Linked DNA regions of Pelodiscus sinensis. The protein of the gene in region 1 binds, or shares a complex with, the protein of each later gene. Links are inferred from orthologs where the notes say so. Each region holds a gene or a part of one and is shown on either strand. Other genes may lie near its edges.

The links. Proteins that work in one complex are often made in the same cells at the same time.
Region 2: DNTTIP1 (region 1) and ZNF541 share a complex: the UniProt entries of both Homo sapiens proteins name them as parts of the histone deacetylase complex. The link is inferred for Pelodiscus sinensis from reciprocal best matches to the Homo sapiens genes DNTTIP1 and ZNF541.

Annotation. Positions count from the first base shown.
Region 1 is NC_134728.1:12,254-20,225, reverse strand, and holds the start of DNTTIP1 (deoxynucleotidyltransferase terminal-interacting protein 1), read left to right. Parts: upstream 1-4,841; 5' UTR 4,842-4,856; coding exon 4,857-5,051; intron 5,052-5,364; coding exon 5,365-5,435; intron 5,436-6,313; coding exon 6,314-6,410; intron 6,411-6,906; coding exon 6,907-7,005; intron 7,006-7,972. Other genes in the region: uncharacterized protein LOC102461217, read right to left, coding at 1,261-1,474, 2,029-2,171, 3,819-3,837. UniProt on the Homo sapiens protein: Increases DNTT terminal deoxynucleotidyltransferase activity (in vitro). Also acts as a transcriptional regulator, binding to the consensus sequence 5'-GNTGCATG-3' following an AT-tract.
Region 2 is NW_027465999.1:198,523-206,989, forward strand, and holds the start of ZNF541 (zinc finger protein 541), read left to right. Parts: upstream 1-5,379; 5' UTR 5,380-5,465; intron 5,466-8,467. UniProt on the Homo sapiens protein: Transcription regulator which is essential for male fertility and for the completion of meiotic prophase in spermatocytes.

The sequences.
Region 1 (7,972 bases):
AGAAGCTAATCAGGTTGGTCAGGCACGACTTGCCCTTGGTGAATCCATGCTGACTGTTCCTGATCACTTTCCCCTCTTCCATGTGCTTCAAAATGGATTCCTTGAGGCTCCCCTCCATGATTTTTCTGGGGACTGAGGTAAGGCTGATGGGTTTATAGTTCCCTGGATTTTCCTTCTTCCCTGGACCCTTTTCTTAAGAGAAGGGGTGTTTGCCTTGGCTTCTTGGCCAAATTCCAAAGCAGGGAATTCCATCCTGACTCCCTGGATTCCCACCTGGATTTTCAAATGAATCAGGTATTTGTTGTGCTGCGTCACTGGTGACTAGAAAGTGGTACGGAGATTTCTGATGCAAGCTTGGCTGCATGTGTCTTCTGGGGAAATGACATCTTGGAACCCAAATCCAACTCCTTCCGCCTGCCCCAGGGCACTTTCACAAGTTAGTCATGCAACAAACAAAGACACGGGGCCAAATTCAGCCCTGAGCAGATGTGACTCACTGATTTCCATGACGTGGCACTCACTTACACCAGGGCTGCACTTGGCCGCTCGGGGGACAGTCCCACAAAGGAGTCCAAGGGCCCTTCCCTGGGAGGGCACAATCCTGCAGTGCCAGGAGCCAGTCACAGGCTTGCCGCCTGCACCCTTTTCCCACTTGTGCACATGGGAACAGTCTGGAACCTCTGTGAATGCTTTTTGTGCGTTAGAAGCTCTAGAATTCAAACAACCGTTTCCTTACGGAGTGCTGAATCTAGCAGCACCTTGATCTCACTAGCACAGGGCGAGACTGTTCCCTGGTTCTGCATAGCTATGCAGGAGAGCAAGGCCTCCCACCTGTGGGGGACCTTCAGGGGACCAGGTTCAGGGACAGAGTAGAGGCAGCATCCAGGAGCAAGTGAGCAGAGTTCTGGAGCCTGGTCAGGCATGAGGGAGCAACAAGCTGCATGCTCAAGTGGTATCACAGTTCAAATCCCTCCTCCCCCGCCCAACTGCAAGAGGGGGAGCAGAAGAGGACTGAAGAGTCCCCGAATCACAGGACCTTGCTGGAGAGCACAGCTCTGTACTGCTGAGGTGAAAGGCTGTCCAGCCCTGGGAACTACAATGAACCTCCTTTCTGCCCCTGCACCTTGTGATCAATCCGAGTCTCACTCATTTGCGTGGCCCATTGCCTTTGGCTGGGGGAGGGCACAACGTCTTTTGTCTAAACCCTTTTGTATCCCCGTGAAGTCTGACTGTGATCCAAACACTGCGCTGCCGCCTCACCTGCTACCTGCAGGATGATGTCTGCCTGCTGATTGAAATGCCCAACTCTGGCCCACAGGGAACAGCGGTAGGCGCCAGAGTCCTCCGGCTGGACCTCAGGAATGACCAAGGATTGCTGCTCATCCATCAGGAACTCCCGCTGGGTCCCTGAATACAGGCGGGTGCTATTCTCATGTCTCCGGATCAGCCCCATTTCATGACTCTCGTTGGCTACCTGCAATGCCCCAACAGAAGCCCTGTGAGCACGTCAACAGCGATCAGCGACAAGCTGTGGACTATGCTGCCACCGATCCCAAACATCTGACTTCTACTTGTGCAAACATTGGCATGAGCAGCCGTGGCATTAATGTGGGTGACCCCGTTTTATGCACACCAATGCCCCGTTTGCATGTATAAATTAGGTACTGAGTCCCCTGCTAGCAAAGCTCAATGTTTCTTTCATGGGAAACAGGTGCAGCCCAATTGGCGACAACCCGCTAAAATGGTCTCAAACCTGGAAGCTGGACATGAAGAGGCAGACTTTCCTGTTGCTGAAGGGAGAGTCCATAGCAGCTGTCTGGAGAAACTACCACTTCCTCCAGGAGTAAGACAGAAAGCAGCACTGTCACACCCCTCTGGGTCTGTGCCTGCCCACCCCACAAGTCATGGCACGTGAAATAAGGTAGGGAGGACAGGACCCCTGGTTTGCTGGCCACGAGAAGCTCATAATGAAATTTGCTGCTGCTCAGAAAGGTTGCGACTTTCCAGGACGGTTAATAAAACAGTTACCTTGTACCAGCCAATGGCCCAGTAGTTGTGCATCCCTCCAGCAGCAGTGGGACATGGTAGGAGTGCAGTTTCCCCACACTGGGCTCTTACAGACCCAGCTGCCACAGCTGTTCTTTGCAGGAGAAGCCACAGGCAACAAAGAGCTAGAAAGGAGAGAATCAGGGTTCTGAGTAGTCTACTGCCGTGCCGTGCCGTCCCGTCCCCCCCCCCACACACACACACACACCGGTATTCTCAAGAGAGACTTATATCCAGGTATCAGAGGGGTAGCAGTGTTAGTCTGAATCTGCAAAAGCAGCGAGGAGTCCTGTGGCGCCTTATAGACTAACTGAAGTGTAGGAGCATAAGCTTTCGTGGGCAAAGACCCACTTCGTCAGATGTCTATAAGGTGCCACAGGACTCCTCGCTGCTTATATCCAGGAAAAGCCACTGATAAATCCGCTTCTGAATTCCTTATAACAGGAGCTGTTTCCACTGGGGCTGGAACCGAGGTCACCTTGGGAGGATTTCTTGTTAGTTCTATGCCTGCCTACTTATATACCTCCTGCACTTACTGGTGCTCAAAGGGTCCAGTACACCTTCTCCAGCTCTGTGAGACACCTTGTCCCTGAGTCCTTTTGCTGAGCTTTCAGAGGAGCTGCAGAAAAGTGACTGCTGTTTCTCTGAGATGCCATGAGTTTATTTGAAAGAAACTTCAGGCAATTAAAGCACAGAGACTGTGACCTGCTCCACATCACACAGGAAGTCTGTGGCTGAGCAAGGAATTGCATCGTGCGTCTTGTTTACATGGAGACTGAGTCTATGCTTTGAGCTAGAAGTGTAAATTCCCCAGTTCATGGAGCCAGCCCTAGGCTAGCTCAAAGTGAGTTAGTGTACTTAAACAAGAGTGTAGCCAGAGCGGAACACACGGTGAGTGGAGCTAGCTACTCAGAATATGCACCGTGTGTCCTGGAGGGATCTCACTCAGGGCCGCCAGCCCTTCCTGCCAGTCACGCAGCTTCAGCAACACTCTATTTTTAGTATGCAAGCTCCATCAGAGCAAGCATAGGTATGTTTCCTTGAGTTGAGAACTATCACTGCAGCTCCAAATGTAGATGCACCTGAGCAAATGGCAGGCCAGGGTGCAAATCTACAGCACAGCCTGTCAGGCACTAACAGGCCACACAGACCTCGCACTAAGCGTTTCATAGTGTAGAGCCCTGAATACATCACAAACGTTAATGTATTCATCTTACAACCTCCCTGGAGCTAGAAAAATATTATCCCCATTTTCCAGTTGGGGATACCGAGCCTAGGTGAGATTAAGCAACTTGCCCGAGGTCTCAAATTGAGTCTGTTGAACAGCCAGGAACAGAACTTAAATCTTCTTAACCACAAAATCATCTTGCGTCTTTCTTTCAGAGACACTTGGGGCAGAGGCTGTGTCTCCCCATGTCTGTAGCGTATTATTGGCACCGACAGGATGCAAAAAGAGTCATAACAGAGGACACTATTAGAGGAGAGGCGAAGACTTCATTTGGTTTTAAGAATAAATTTCACTCCCTTCCAAGTTACAGCTACGCAGACAAGTAATAACATTCTCCTGGAACATAAAAATAAGCAACTGAATTCACGTCCTCACAGGGAATTCTATTTCACATTGTACTGATCAGATGCACTGTCAGTCTCTCCCCTTGCTGGGCCACACAGCCTGTTGGGAGCTCACTCTACACCCTCTTGGCATGGTGCTGCCAAAGACGAGAGAAAGAAAGCGCAGGCAGGTGAATAAACGTCTAATGAGGAGGACTCACCCAAGCACAGGATCTGCATGGTCTGGGCAGCTTGCAGTCGCAGGAGTACCTGTGCCCCCTAAACTTCCTGTCGAGTAAATGGAAACAAGTGGGCTTGGCTATGCAGAAAACGAAAGCGAGCGCTTCATCAAACCCCGCTCCCCAACATGACGCACTAGCTGGGACCCTGACTGCGGCACCGCCTGAGCACAGGGACAGGCCCAAGGTCATCAGACTGCCAGAAGGAACGGACTGGACTGGAGCGTGTCACCCTAGGGCAGTGGGGGGTTGCCGGGCTGGGGGGGCGGCCGTGCCCGGGCCACGTGCCGGGTGGCGGGGCCGCCCACGCGCCATGGTCCAGGAGCCAGCACCGCACACGCCGTGGGCAGGGCCGCCCACACCATTCCACGGGGACACAAACACCCACGGGCGCCACGCTGGGGACCACGGCCCAGGGCCCTGCCAGGGCAGCCTCCCTCCTCCCACGCTGGGGCAGCCATTGCCCCCCCCCGCGGCTCTGCCCCTTGGGGCCTGAGACAAGACGCAGGCGCGGAGCGGGGGGGGAAGGGCCGGGCCGGGCCCCCCCAGGCAGGGCCCCCCCCACGGCGGCTGAGGCCGGGCCGGGGCCCCCAGGCAGGGCCCCCCCCACGGCGGCTGAGGCCGGGCCGGGCCCCCCCAGGCAGGGCCCCCCCCACGGCGGCTGAGGCCGGGCCGGGCCCCCCCAGGCAGGGCCCCCCCCACGGCGGCTGAGGCCGGGCCGGGCCCCCCCCGGCAGGGCCCCCCCCACGGCGGCTGAGGCCGGGCCGGGCCCCCCCCAGGCCGGGCCCCCCCCACGGCGGCTGAGGCCGGGCCGGGCCCTCGTGCAGGGTCTGGGGCCACGGGGCGGCCCGGGGCTCAGGCAGCCGCAGGGGCACGTGGGAGCGCGCGGCCCCCGGGGGCGGGCCAGCGGGGTGTGGCTCGGGCGGGGGGGGGGGGGGGGGCACGTCGCGGCGGCAGCGCGCGGCTCCGGCCCGGCGCGTGCCCGTGGGGAGGAGCCCGCCCCGCCCCTCGCAGAACAAGATGGCGGCCGGTTGCCATAGCAGCCGTCGCGCTTCCTCCTGGAGCGGCGTCGCAGGCGTGATGACGTCAGGCCCGTTCGGCTGCTTCCGGGTGCGGCGGGCCGGGGGCGCTGCGGGATCCGCGATGGGGGCGGCCCGGGACCCGGAGCAGCAGGCGCCGGGGGAAGGGGGCCTCGAGGAGGGGGATGGGCAGCCGGTGAGCGCGGGCGGAGGGGCCGCCTGGCGAGCCCCGGGGGGTGGCGGGGGGGGGTTGCCTGGCGAGCCCCCAGGGGGTGGCGGGGGGGGTTGCCTGGCGAGCCCCCCCCCGGGGGGAGGCGGGGGGGGTTGCCTGGCGAGCCCCCCGGGGGAGGCGGGGGGGGTTGCCTGGCGAGCCCCCCGGGGGAGGCGGGGGGGGTTGCCTGGCGAGCCCCCCGGGGGAGGCGGGGGGGGTTGCCTGGCGAGCCCCCCGGGGGAGGCGGGGGGGGTTGCCTGGCGAGCCCTGCGAGCTCACCCTGCCTCTCCTCCCGCAGAGCCCCTGGAACATCATGATCAAGCACCGGCAGGTGCAGCGGCGCGGGCGACGCTCCCAGATGGCCACGAGGTAACAGCTGCCCTGGCCGCGCTCCCAGCAGCACAAGTCTCCTCTGACACCCGCTGTGTGATCCCAGCGGGCAAGGCTCCTGCCAGGGCCATGCCGGGGCCAGAGAAAGGCTCCGTGTGAAGTCTGGTCCTGCCTCTGCCACCCGCTCCCTGGGCCAGCCACAATGTGGGGCGCTCGATCTGTATAGTGGGGCTCGCTACCCACGGAACTGATATTCTTTGGGGCTGGAAATGCTCCCTAGCTGCTAAGGGGTTGAGGCCACACTGTGAGATATCCGGCGTTCTAGGGGCCGTGGCAGGTTGTTTGATCCTGGTGAAGTGGGGGATTCATCAGAATGCTCATACTGGGCCAAGCCAAAGATCTGTCTGCCCAAGTGTCCTGGCTTTCAGCTTGTGGCCAGTGCCAGATGTATCCGAGGCAGTGAACAGAACAGGCCAATGTATCGAGTGATCCATCCCTGTCATCCAGGCCCAGCTTCTGGCAGTTACGAGGGTTAGGATCATCTCGGCTAATAGCCAGAGATCGGCCTGTGCTCTGGGAACCGATCTCGTTCTTTGTTGAACCCAGTTGTGTGTTTACATCACTTGCGTGCAAACCACACTCCTCTCGGGCTGACACTTGGAGCCAGAGGCACTTTGTGTTCTCCTCTGCTGGGAGACTTAGAGTTGGAATCAGTGGGTAATTCCGCTGCTGGCTTTGGAGTGGAAATCAGCTTGCAGCCTGTGTTGTGTCCTTTGCAGACGCCTGTAAACTCTGGCGGACACTCACGTGGGTGAGAGCATTCGGGAGAGCACTGCCGCGTGGGGCTTTGGGGACTGTCTGGGTGGTGTGCTAGGTGTGGCAGGAAAGCCAGGTGGAGTCATTTCTCTCTCATTCAGCTTTACAGACCCTGCTGTCTCCATGGATTTGCTGCGAGCTGTTCTGCAGCCTAGTATTAATGAGGAGATCCAGACTGTCTTCAATAAATACATGAAGGTAAAGCTCACAGGAAGAGGGAAATTTCTTGGACGGACATCATCCTTCCCCTGCCTCTAGCCTGTGCTGGAAGGTGCTGCCACTGTGAAAGCCCTGCCCCATAGGCCAAGTCACATACACAACCCAACCCTGTGAACTGAATAAGAGGGGCAGGTGAAGGCTGCTCTGCCTAACCCTGAAAGGGTCCCACTCCAGGACTCCTGGTCTGAAATCCACAGAACTGTAAAAGTGAGTTCTGCTGGAGGGCACTGAGGGACCAGAGAGCATGGAGTCTTCTCCCAAAGGATATGGAGCTTCCGAATGGGACTACGTCCCGTGTTCTCAGTGCTGACCCTGATGGTATTAGGTTGTGGCATGAGCAGAGGTGGACCCTGGAATTGCCAGACCCTGCTTTTGTCTGTGCAGAGAACAGCCTTGTCCCAAGGAGGCAGCCTTCTGTGGAAAGAGCTGAGAGCAGCCAGCGTCATGCTAACTCTCTCCTTGGGCCCCTTCCCAGTTTTTCCAGAAGGCAGCAGGTAACGTGAGAGAGAACGTCGGGGAGGACGTGGATCCAGAGCAGCTCATCCAGGAAACGTGTCGGAGCTGCCTAGAACAGGTAGGCATGTGCCAGCGCCACACACCTGCTGCCACCGCCCTCTGGGACCAGCCTTGCAAGGAAATACCTGCTGCATGGTCTCCTGGGGGTGCAGAGCATTACAGGCTGGCTTCCCAGGACCTCACAGTGCAAAGAGTCCCTGGAAACAGGCTTTTGGATTCAGGTCAGTGATACGCGGGCTGCCACTCCCTAACATGCCCCAGCGGCTCGGGGCAGCCGTGGTATTAAAATGCGTGTGGTTTCGTTGTTAGTCGGGATGTTTCTACAGTGTCAGTAACCGACTGGCATTGGTCGGTCACTTTGCTGTGTGACTTGTGCAGTGAGTTCACGCTGCTGCAGCTCTCGGGTAATTTGGCTCCTGAAGCATGGACATCTGAGAGCTGCCGGCCTGGGGAGAGGTGGTTGTATGGCTCAGTCAGCAGCGGGTCTGACGGGAGGCACTACGTGCTCCTCTCCCACTGAGCTGATGTGGGCTGCAAGTGTGGCACGGCTGAGGGGCCGGGGCATAGAGCCAGCACAGAGCTGCTTGTCTCCTACTCCTTTGCTATGCAAAGCCAAGCAACAAGGAATTCCAGGGGTGGTTCTAGGCCGCAGCAGCGGTGGGAGATGCAGTCACAGCTGTAACCCATACAGCCATACACCTTCAGTGCCTGGCCGGAGGGTGGCACCTTCCCTCTCACGTCCCACCCTTGGTGCTGTTCTCCAGGCCTGGCACCAGTTTCAGACTATTGCAATGAGCCCTGTGTGGGATGTCTGTTAGAGCTGGCCGGAGGCTGGCACTGGTGCAGAATGCAGCCACTTGCTTCCTGAGCGGGGCACGTCTCCGGGAGCATGTGACCCATGCTGCCCCGTCGGTCTCTATGTGAACACTAAGGTGCTAGGTATTACTTCCGCAGCAGTAAGTAGCCTCAGACCAGTGTTCACTCCACTCACGGATGGATAACCTTAGAGGGAGTTTCGTTATGTG
Region 2 (8,467 bases), on another chromosome or scaffold:
ACTTATAAATAATAATGGTATTTTCCCTTTGCTAGACCTGAAGATTTCTAATAATTATAACAAACATTAGTTCATTAAACCTTGCAGCTCCCCATTAAGATAGGTCAATAGAATACTCTTTTTATGAAAGGACAAACTGAAGCAAAGAACAATTAAGTAACTCATCCATGGCCTTTCAGTAAGTCTATGGCAGAGTTTCCAGGAAAACACAAGATCCTGGCTCTTTTTGTTTACATAGTTGGTACTCACTCTTCTTCCTAATAGTTTAAACACAAAGTTTAAAATTTACTTTAAAAAGTTTTACAAAATCTAATGAGAAAAACTACTTTCATATATACAGCATATGTGAATATATATAAAAACATTTCTTCTTATTCACTGGAAATATATATATGATCAGGGCTTGACAATCTATGTAATCTACTCGCCTGTGGCGAGTAGATTACAACCTGGAAGAGCCGGGTTCGGCTCTTCTTCGACAGCACGGCTGGTGAGCAGGGCTTGCGCGGCTCGCCAAGCCCTGTGTATGATGATAATAATGATGTATCTGCTTGACTAGCCACAGCCAGTGCTGCCTTCAGAATACTGACCAAGTGCTTATGGAATGACCACAGTGATAAATTGTTACTTTTGTATGAAGTTTATCAGGCAGTTGTCCTGAATAGCCTGCTGTATCACTCAGAGTCATTGACCATATATCACTGTCACATTTTGAATCTCGATCAATTTCATATGTGCTGCCAGGGACGGATATAGGGCAGGGCGAACGGGGCGGCTGCCCCGGGCCCCGCGCTTCAGAAAGCCCCGCGCATGCGCCGTGGCACCGCTGCGCATGCGCATAGCGTCACTGCGCATGCGCCGTGGCAAAGGGGGGGCTCCACGGAATTATGCTGCCCAGGGCCCTGCAAAACGGTCATCTGCCCCTGTGTGCTACCTCAGGAAGATTGGTGGGACAAAATTCCTAACAAAGAGGTCCTCAGGCTGTGTGATGTCATGGGCATGGAAGCAATGTTTATGAACAAAACAGTTTCATGGTGATGTCATGAGAACAGATGATATATGGATGCTGAAGATGGTCTTCTATGACCAGCTTGTTCATAGAAAGCACTCTGTTATTGGTGGTTATTATAAGCATTATAAAGATATTTTAAAGGCCAATGTGAAGTCAAGTGCTGTATCTCCCGATGACCTGGAAATCATAGCTCAGGATAGACTATTCTGGCAGTAAACTATTGAACAGGCTCTCAAACACTTCAAGAGTCAATGTATCCAGACATTACAGGAAAAGTGCAGGATCTGAAGAGTTCACAACATCTACAGAGGGCAGATTTTGATGTGACCTCTATAATCAGATTTGCCAAACAAGCATTGGCTTAGTCGCTCACCAACGGTGTCATAGAATATGAGCTCCATCGGTTGAAGGTTCAGTACACACACCCACACGCAGAAAATGCCCATTAAAATGTCTTTTGAACTCAAACATTTTTTTGTAAGTATGCAAATCAAATATGACAGCATTTTGCTAAAAAATGAGAATCAACCGCTAGAAGGTAACTGATTGACTTTGTTCCAATCCAAATGAAGTACAGAAAGAAAACTAACAACGTAATGATTGATGTCAAACAAGACATTTAAAATCTCTTGAATTTTAATCAGTGCTTTTTTTGTAAGGGAAAAGGTGTAGGTACTCTGGGGCAAACTTGTTGAGCAAAAAAACCAGCCTCATGTCGGGGGCTGAAATGTGGTCACGGCCCCTTTAAGAGCCATAGTGCTGCATTGGGAGCCGGGGGAAAAAAATGCCGCGCGTCCCAAGAAGGCTTCCGTCAGGAGCCGAGCTGCCCCAGGAAACAGGTGCCAGTATGTTCAGGGAAAATCCCATTCTTTTTCTGTGGGCTGGGAAAATAGGTGACAGTACGCCATTGTGGGCACTACCAGCACAAAAAAAGCACTGGTTTTAATAATCTCACTGGTTATTAGGCATGTGAAGGGGTAACTGGTTACCCAATAAGCATTACCCTTCCTCAGTGATGCTATCAGGTAACAATTAACTGGTTCCCTGGGAGCAGCCCTACCTATAGTCCCGTGCCAGAACGATTCTCCCTCCTGGGATCCTTCTTAGTCACTTAACCAGTTAAACATTAGGTTAACCTACCATTTAATGGGTTACCTGGTTCATTGGAATTTTACATCTCTAGCACTGGTTACATCAGAAAAAAAGGAACATTTTAAATATAGATAGAGACAAATTCAGGTCCGGTTTGGAGCCGAACTAGAAATAAATTTGGCCTCTAATTTCTAACTTGACAGGAAAAACATTTAAATGATATATATTTTTAAATTAGATATTCTCTGTCCTGAATATCTCTCTCTATATAAACATAAAATGTAATTATTGAGATCTGTCTTACACACATAGTTTTGTATGTAGTATATTAGAGGCAGGGTTCATATGGTTCAAAAAACCTGGACTTTTTTTGAGTTGCAAGTTTATGGGCATGTTTTCTGGTGGAGCCAATACTAAAGCAGGTTAATAACATCTCTGGCCACTTTCCCTTTGTTCAGATGAACAGGCTTTAAACACCAAATCAAACAAAAACATTAAAAAAAAAACCATGAACAGGACATGCCATATTTCCAAAGCTCTCTTCCCAGCTTCCAGAGTAAGCTGTCATCTGCTTTCTCCTGAAATCTGTCTAGCCACTTTTTAAGGCTTTCAGCTTGATTACCTGAGCTAGAGATAGGAAGCCTGGGGCCTCTCCATGCATTCTCAAGTTCAGGGGAGTCACTCTCATCCTAACCTACTTGACAGAGTTGTACCATGTCTGAACATGATTGCCAGCAATTGTGGTTAGCTGACACAGTAACGAAACCGGATCTGAATCAGGACAACCCTTCACCTTGTGTAGTCATTTATATCAGTTCAAAATGGATTTTATATAAAAATGCCACATAATCTTGCCAACCTCATCATGGCAATCCCAGATCTATTCTGCTAATAGTACTTTGAAATCTACGTTTATTTAATTGCAATGGATAGCAGCAAATGTCACAATTACATAATCAAAAGGATATTTGATTATTTTCCTGTTCTAAACTTGCAGCTTTATTGACATGGAATGTTTCCATAACCATGGAAATGGTAGACTATAATAGGCCCTGTTATAGTAAGTGCAGTAACTTGATGTGTTTGTTCAAATGCTGATACATTTAACATTGTTCTTTATTTGACTGGTCATGATTAGCATTTGAATTTTAACTGAAATAAATTAAATTAACTTAATACTGTATTAAGGTAAATGGTGGAAGTTCACATCTCTCCTGGTGATGTTTCAGCCTGAATGTTTTAAGCTGAAAACCAAAGTACATTAGAGAAATTTACAGTATGAAGGGCTAGCTGTTGAAAATATAAAACCAAAGCTGTGATCACTTGTCAAACATGTAATATTGAATACCAATTTAATGCCAGTTTTAGCTCACTGATTAGTATGCACACAGCTTTCTACTGAAATGCAACCTCTATGGGATAGAATACACCAGCTATTTCTTCAAATGAAACTGCAAAAAGAGTTTTAGTAGATAGAATTGTAACACCCCAATGAAAATTACATTAGCACACAAAGGTTAATAACTCTGATCATGAATAAAAACATTAGGCTTGGCTTCCCACACCCTTACACCCCATGTAGCTATGTAACCCTATGTCACTTTGTAGAAAGAGGTATCATTTTTATGTGATAGCATTTTATTTATCCTTTGCACTACTGTTCATAACTACACAAGGCACTGGGGTAGTCCTGTTTCAGGCTCAGTTTCATTACCATGTCAGTTAACCACACTTGTTGGCAATCATGGTTAGGCATGGTACAACTCTCCTCATCTCCTGCAACACTTTACTCTGTAACACCATGAGACATTGGAATCACATGCCCACAACAGAGGAGTCTTCCTCTCTATAGCCTTGCCTGGACTAGTGATCTGCTTCCTTTTTAGCCAAGAGTGTAGTTGCAAACCCCTACCATACGCAGAGTAAAATGTCCTACCAAGAGCAAACCCCTACCATATGCAGAGTAAAAAGTCCAAAAACCATTATTAGAATCAGTGCACCTGCTTAAAATTGGGGTAAATTCATCACATTTTTCTTTTTTTTTCTGGTTTGTGATGTGCTATAGCTTTAGAAAGATGTTCAATTCACAACTAAATGAGCCACCTTTGGGAAGGGAGGGAGGAGTGAGGAAACAGTCACAGCACCGTCTCACCTGCTTTTTCTCCACTTTTCTCACACTTTCTCCAAACTGTGCTGTTACACTTTCTGCCTCCCGTCTCATAAACCTCCTCCCTCGCCTTACATTTCCCTCTATAGCCCCCTCATATTTCCATCCCCACCCCTAACCAACCCCTTCCTTCTTTGGGCTTCTTCCTTTTTGCATGGTTCCTACCTCCCCCCCACCCCCCCACAACTAGTCTGTCTCCATACTCCTCCCTCACAGGTCCCACTCCCCAAACACTTACTCTCACTCCTCCACCTGCACCTTCCCATATGTCTCTCCCAAGCTCCCCTTCACAATTCTCCCCCTCTCTTCATCACACCTCCCCCTCCCACAACACCTCCTCCTCTCAACACCCTCATGTCTCTCCTCCCACTCACGCATCCGCCATCTGTCCCCTCATAGCCTCCCACCTTTGCATGTATCCTGCCCTCCTCTCACCGCCCCCTCCCCATCGTCTCCCCCTCCATTACCCCCCACTCCACTTCTCCCTTCCCTCCCTCTCCTGCCTTCTCTCCCCTCCCCCCTGGCCCCTATGTCCCTCCTCCAAGCTCTTCCCCTTCCCACCCTCCTCTCCACTTGCCTCTCTCCTCACACCTCCTCACCCCTCCCCCGACCCGTATGCCCCTCCCCTCCACTTGCCTCTCCCCTCACACCTCCTTGCCCCTCCCCCGACCCGCATGCCCCTCCCCTCCACTTGCCTCTCCCCTCACACCTCCTTGCCCCTCCCCGTCCTGCATGCCCCTCCCCTCCACTTGCCTCTCCCCTCACACCTCCTCGCCCCTCCCCGTCCTGCATGCCCTTCCCCTCCACGTGCCCCTCCCCTCACACCTCCTCACCCCTCACCTGCACGTGCCCCTCCCCTCACACCTGCTCGCCCCTCCCCCGTCCCGCATGCCCTTCCCCTCCACGTGCCCCTCCCCTCACACCTCCTCACCCCTCACCTCCACGTGCCCCTCCCCTCACACCTGCTCGCCCCTCCCCCGTCCCGCATGCCCTTCCCCTCCACGTGCCCCTCCCCTCACACCTCCTCTCCCGGGTTCTCACCCCTCCCCGCCCCAGAACGCCTCGTTTCTGCCTCTCACAAAATGGCGCCGCCGCTCGGCCCCGTTTCCCGCCCAGCCCGGCGTCACGTGACCGCGGGGCGGGGCGGGGCGGCGCCGCGTGCCGGGAGCGGGCGAGAAGGGCGCGAGGCGACGGGTAAAGTTGCTGGTTCCCGTGCGCGGCTCGCTCCCCTCAGGCGGCGGCTGCGATTCGCAGCGACCCCCCCCTCCCAGGGCAGCCCCCCCTCCCCAGGGCAGCCCGGGACAGCCCCCCCTTCCCCAGGGCAGCCCCCCCCTCCCCAGGGCAGCCCCCCCCGCCCGGGACAGCCCCCCCTCCCAGGGCAGCCCCCCCCGCCCGGGACAGCCCCCCCCTCCCCAGGGCAGCCCGGGACAGCCCCCCCTTCCCCAGGGCAGCCCCCCCCTCCCCAGGGCAGCCCGGGACAGCCCCCCCTTCCCCAGGGCAGCCCCCCCGCCCGGGACAGCCCCCCCCTCCCAGGGCAGCCCGGGACACCCCCCCCCTCCCCAGGGCAGCCCCCCCCGCCTGGGACAGCCCCCCCTTCCCCAGGGCAGCCCCCCCGCCCGGGACAGCCCCCCCCTCCCAGGGCAGCCCGGGACACCCCTCCCCCTCCCCAGGGCAGCCCCCCCCGCCTGGGACAGCCCCCCCTTCCCCAGGACAGCCCCCCCCTCCCAGGGCAGCCCCCCCCTCCCCAGGGCAGCCCGGGACAGCCCCCCCTTCCCCAGGGCAGCCCCCCCCGCCCAGGGCAGCCCCCCCCGCCCGGGACAGCCCCCCCCTCCCCAGGGCAGCCCGGGACAGCCCCCCCGCCCGGGACAGCCCCCCCCTCCCAGGGCAGCCCGGGACACCCCCCCCCCTCCCCAGGGCAGCCCCCCCTTCCCCAGGACAGCCCCCCCCTCCCAGGGCAGCCCCCCCTCCCCAGGGCAGCCCGGGACAGCCCCCCCTTCCCCAGGGCAGCCCCCCCGCCCGGGACAGCCCCCCCCTCCCAGGGCAGCCCGGGACAGCCCCCCCCTCCCCAGGGCAGCCCCCCCCGCCTGGGACAGCCCCCCCTTCCCCAGGACAGCCCCCCCCTCCCAGGGCAGCCCCCCCCCCTCCCCAGGGTAGCCCGGGACAGCCCCCCCCGCCCGGGACAGCCTCCCCCTCCCAGGGCAGCCCCCCCTTCCCCAGGGCAGCCCCCCCACCCCAGGACAGCCCCCCCTTCCCCAGGGCAGCCCCCCCCCCGCCCGGGACAGCCCCCCCTCCCCAGGGCAGCCCGGGACAGCCCCCCCGCCCGGGACAGCCCCCCCTTCCCTAGGACAGCCCCCCCCCCAGGGCAGCCCCCCCCCGCCCGGGACAGCCCCCCCCCTCCCCAGGGCAGCCCGGGACAGCCCCCCCTTCCCCAGGGCAGCCCCCCCTTCCCCAGGGCAGCCCCCCCCGCCTGGGACAGCCCCCCCCTCCCCAGGGCAGCCCCCCCTTCCCGGGACAGCCCCCCCTCCCCAGGGCAGCCCCCCCCCCCGCCCGGGACAGCCCCCCCCCTCCCCAGGGCAGCCCCCCCCCGCCCGGGACAGCCCCCCCTTCCCCAGGGCAGCCCCCCCCCTGGGACAGCCCTCCCTTCCCCAGGGCAGCCCCCCCGCCCGGGACAGACCCCCTTCCCCAGGGCAGCCCCTCGCCCCGGGGCAGTGCCCCCCTTTCCCTGGGCAACAACCCCCGCCTTCCTGGGCAGCGTCCCACTTCTCAGGGCAGTGCCCCCCTATCCTGGGCAGGGACACCCCCTCGCCAGGTGTAGGGACCCCCCCACCCTAGGGATGGGACCCCCGGCCCAGTTAAGGACTCCCATTCATCCTCCCCTGCCAGCCACCTCCAGGATTCTTCATTACAGACAGGGACCTCCCACCCTACCCACTAGGGCAGGGACCCCCCCTCTCTGTGGGAACAAGTACTCCCCCACCCATCCCCGCCAATGGCAGGAAGTCTCCCGTCCATTATGGACAGGAAGCCCTCCACACTCATCACCTCCAGGGCCCGGGACCCTCACATCACTCAGGGACCTCTCTGCCCCCTCACCCTCAGCACAGTTGGGAATTCCCCTGCCCATATGTTTGGGGCGGAGATCACTCCCATGATAGGCAGGGACCCCCTCCCATCTCCCTAGGTGGAGGGACACCCTATTCCCATCACAGTTGGGATCACCATCCCCATCATGGGTAGGGATGTCCCACACATTCTTAGGGGCATCCCTCATAGGGAGGGAGTTATTCCCTCCAGGGGCCAGGATACCCCTCCATCATAGTCCAGTATCCATCCTACAAGGGTCAGGAGCAGCATCCCCCTTCCCAATTTGAGCAGCAGCCTTATCCCCACCAGGGGAAGGAACCCACAGAGTCCTACCACCAGAGCCAGGAGCAACTCCCCAGGGGTAATATCAGTCCCTTTGCATCCCTCCGGACAGGTAGTCTCTACCCAAACAGGAACTCTCCCCTCCCTTTGCTACCATGGACAGCAGTCTTCCCCATCCTCACAGTGCCAGGAGCATTGTCCCAACCCATTTGGGCCTAGAGCTAGAAAACAATCCCCCCTCCTTGCCAGAGGCTGGCTGACTCCTCCCTCCTTTTCATCTCTCACAGGGCCAGGGGTCAGAGTGGATAAAAAGTGATTTAAACATTTTTTTATTCTTTTGAAATTGAAATCAGATGTATTTACTTAAATGCATTTTTCTTTTTAAAAAATAAACCCATTGAAAATTAAAATTGAAATGTTCAACCTATATTAAGACATACACATTTACTAAATTAAAATCATTTAAACTAAATACAAATAATTCAAGAAGCACGTTTGCTATTGAAGTTTAAAGTAAAACAATCAGACTGGTGGAAGTTGCCAACTAAGCACCTAAAACCAGAATTTGCTGATATGCTAAACCAGATATTGACAGCAATAACCTCTTCAGGTGCAAAGAATACTGTCTTCAGCTGAGTTTATTCAACTAGTTTAGTTCATTGGCCAGTTAATATTAAGTTCTTTCACCTCAATTCAGCCTAGGAAAGGTGCCACCACCCTTCTTATTCTTCAGAAAAGAATGAGGAGGTCATACTTTAGGGTAATCTCAGGATCTTTCTTTGTTACAGCATAAATTCAGTGACCTAAGATTCTCTGTCCCTAATATCCTA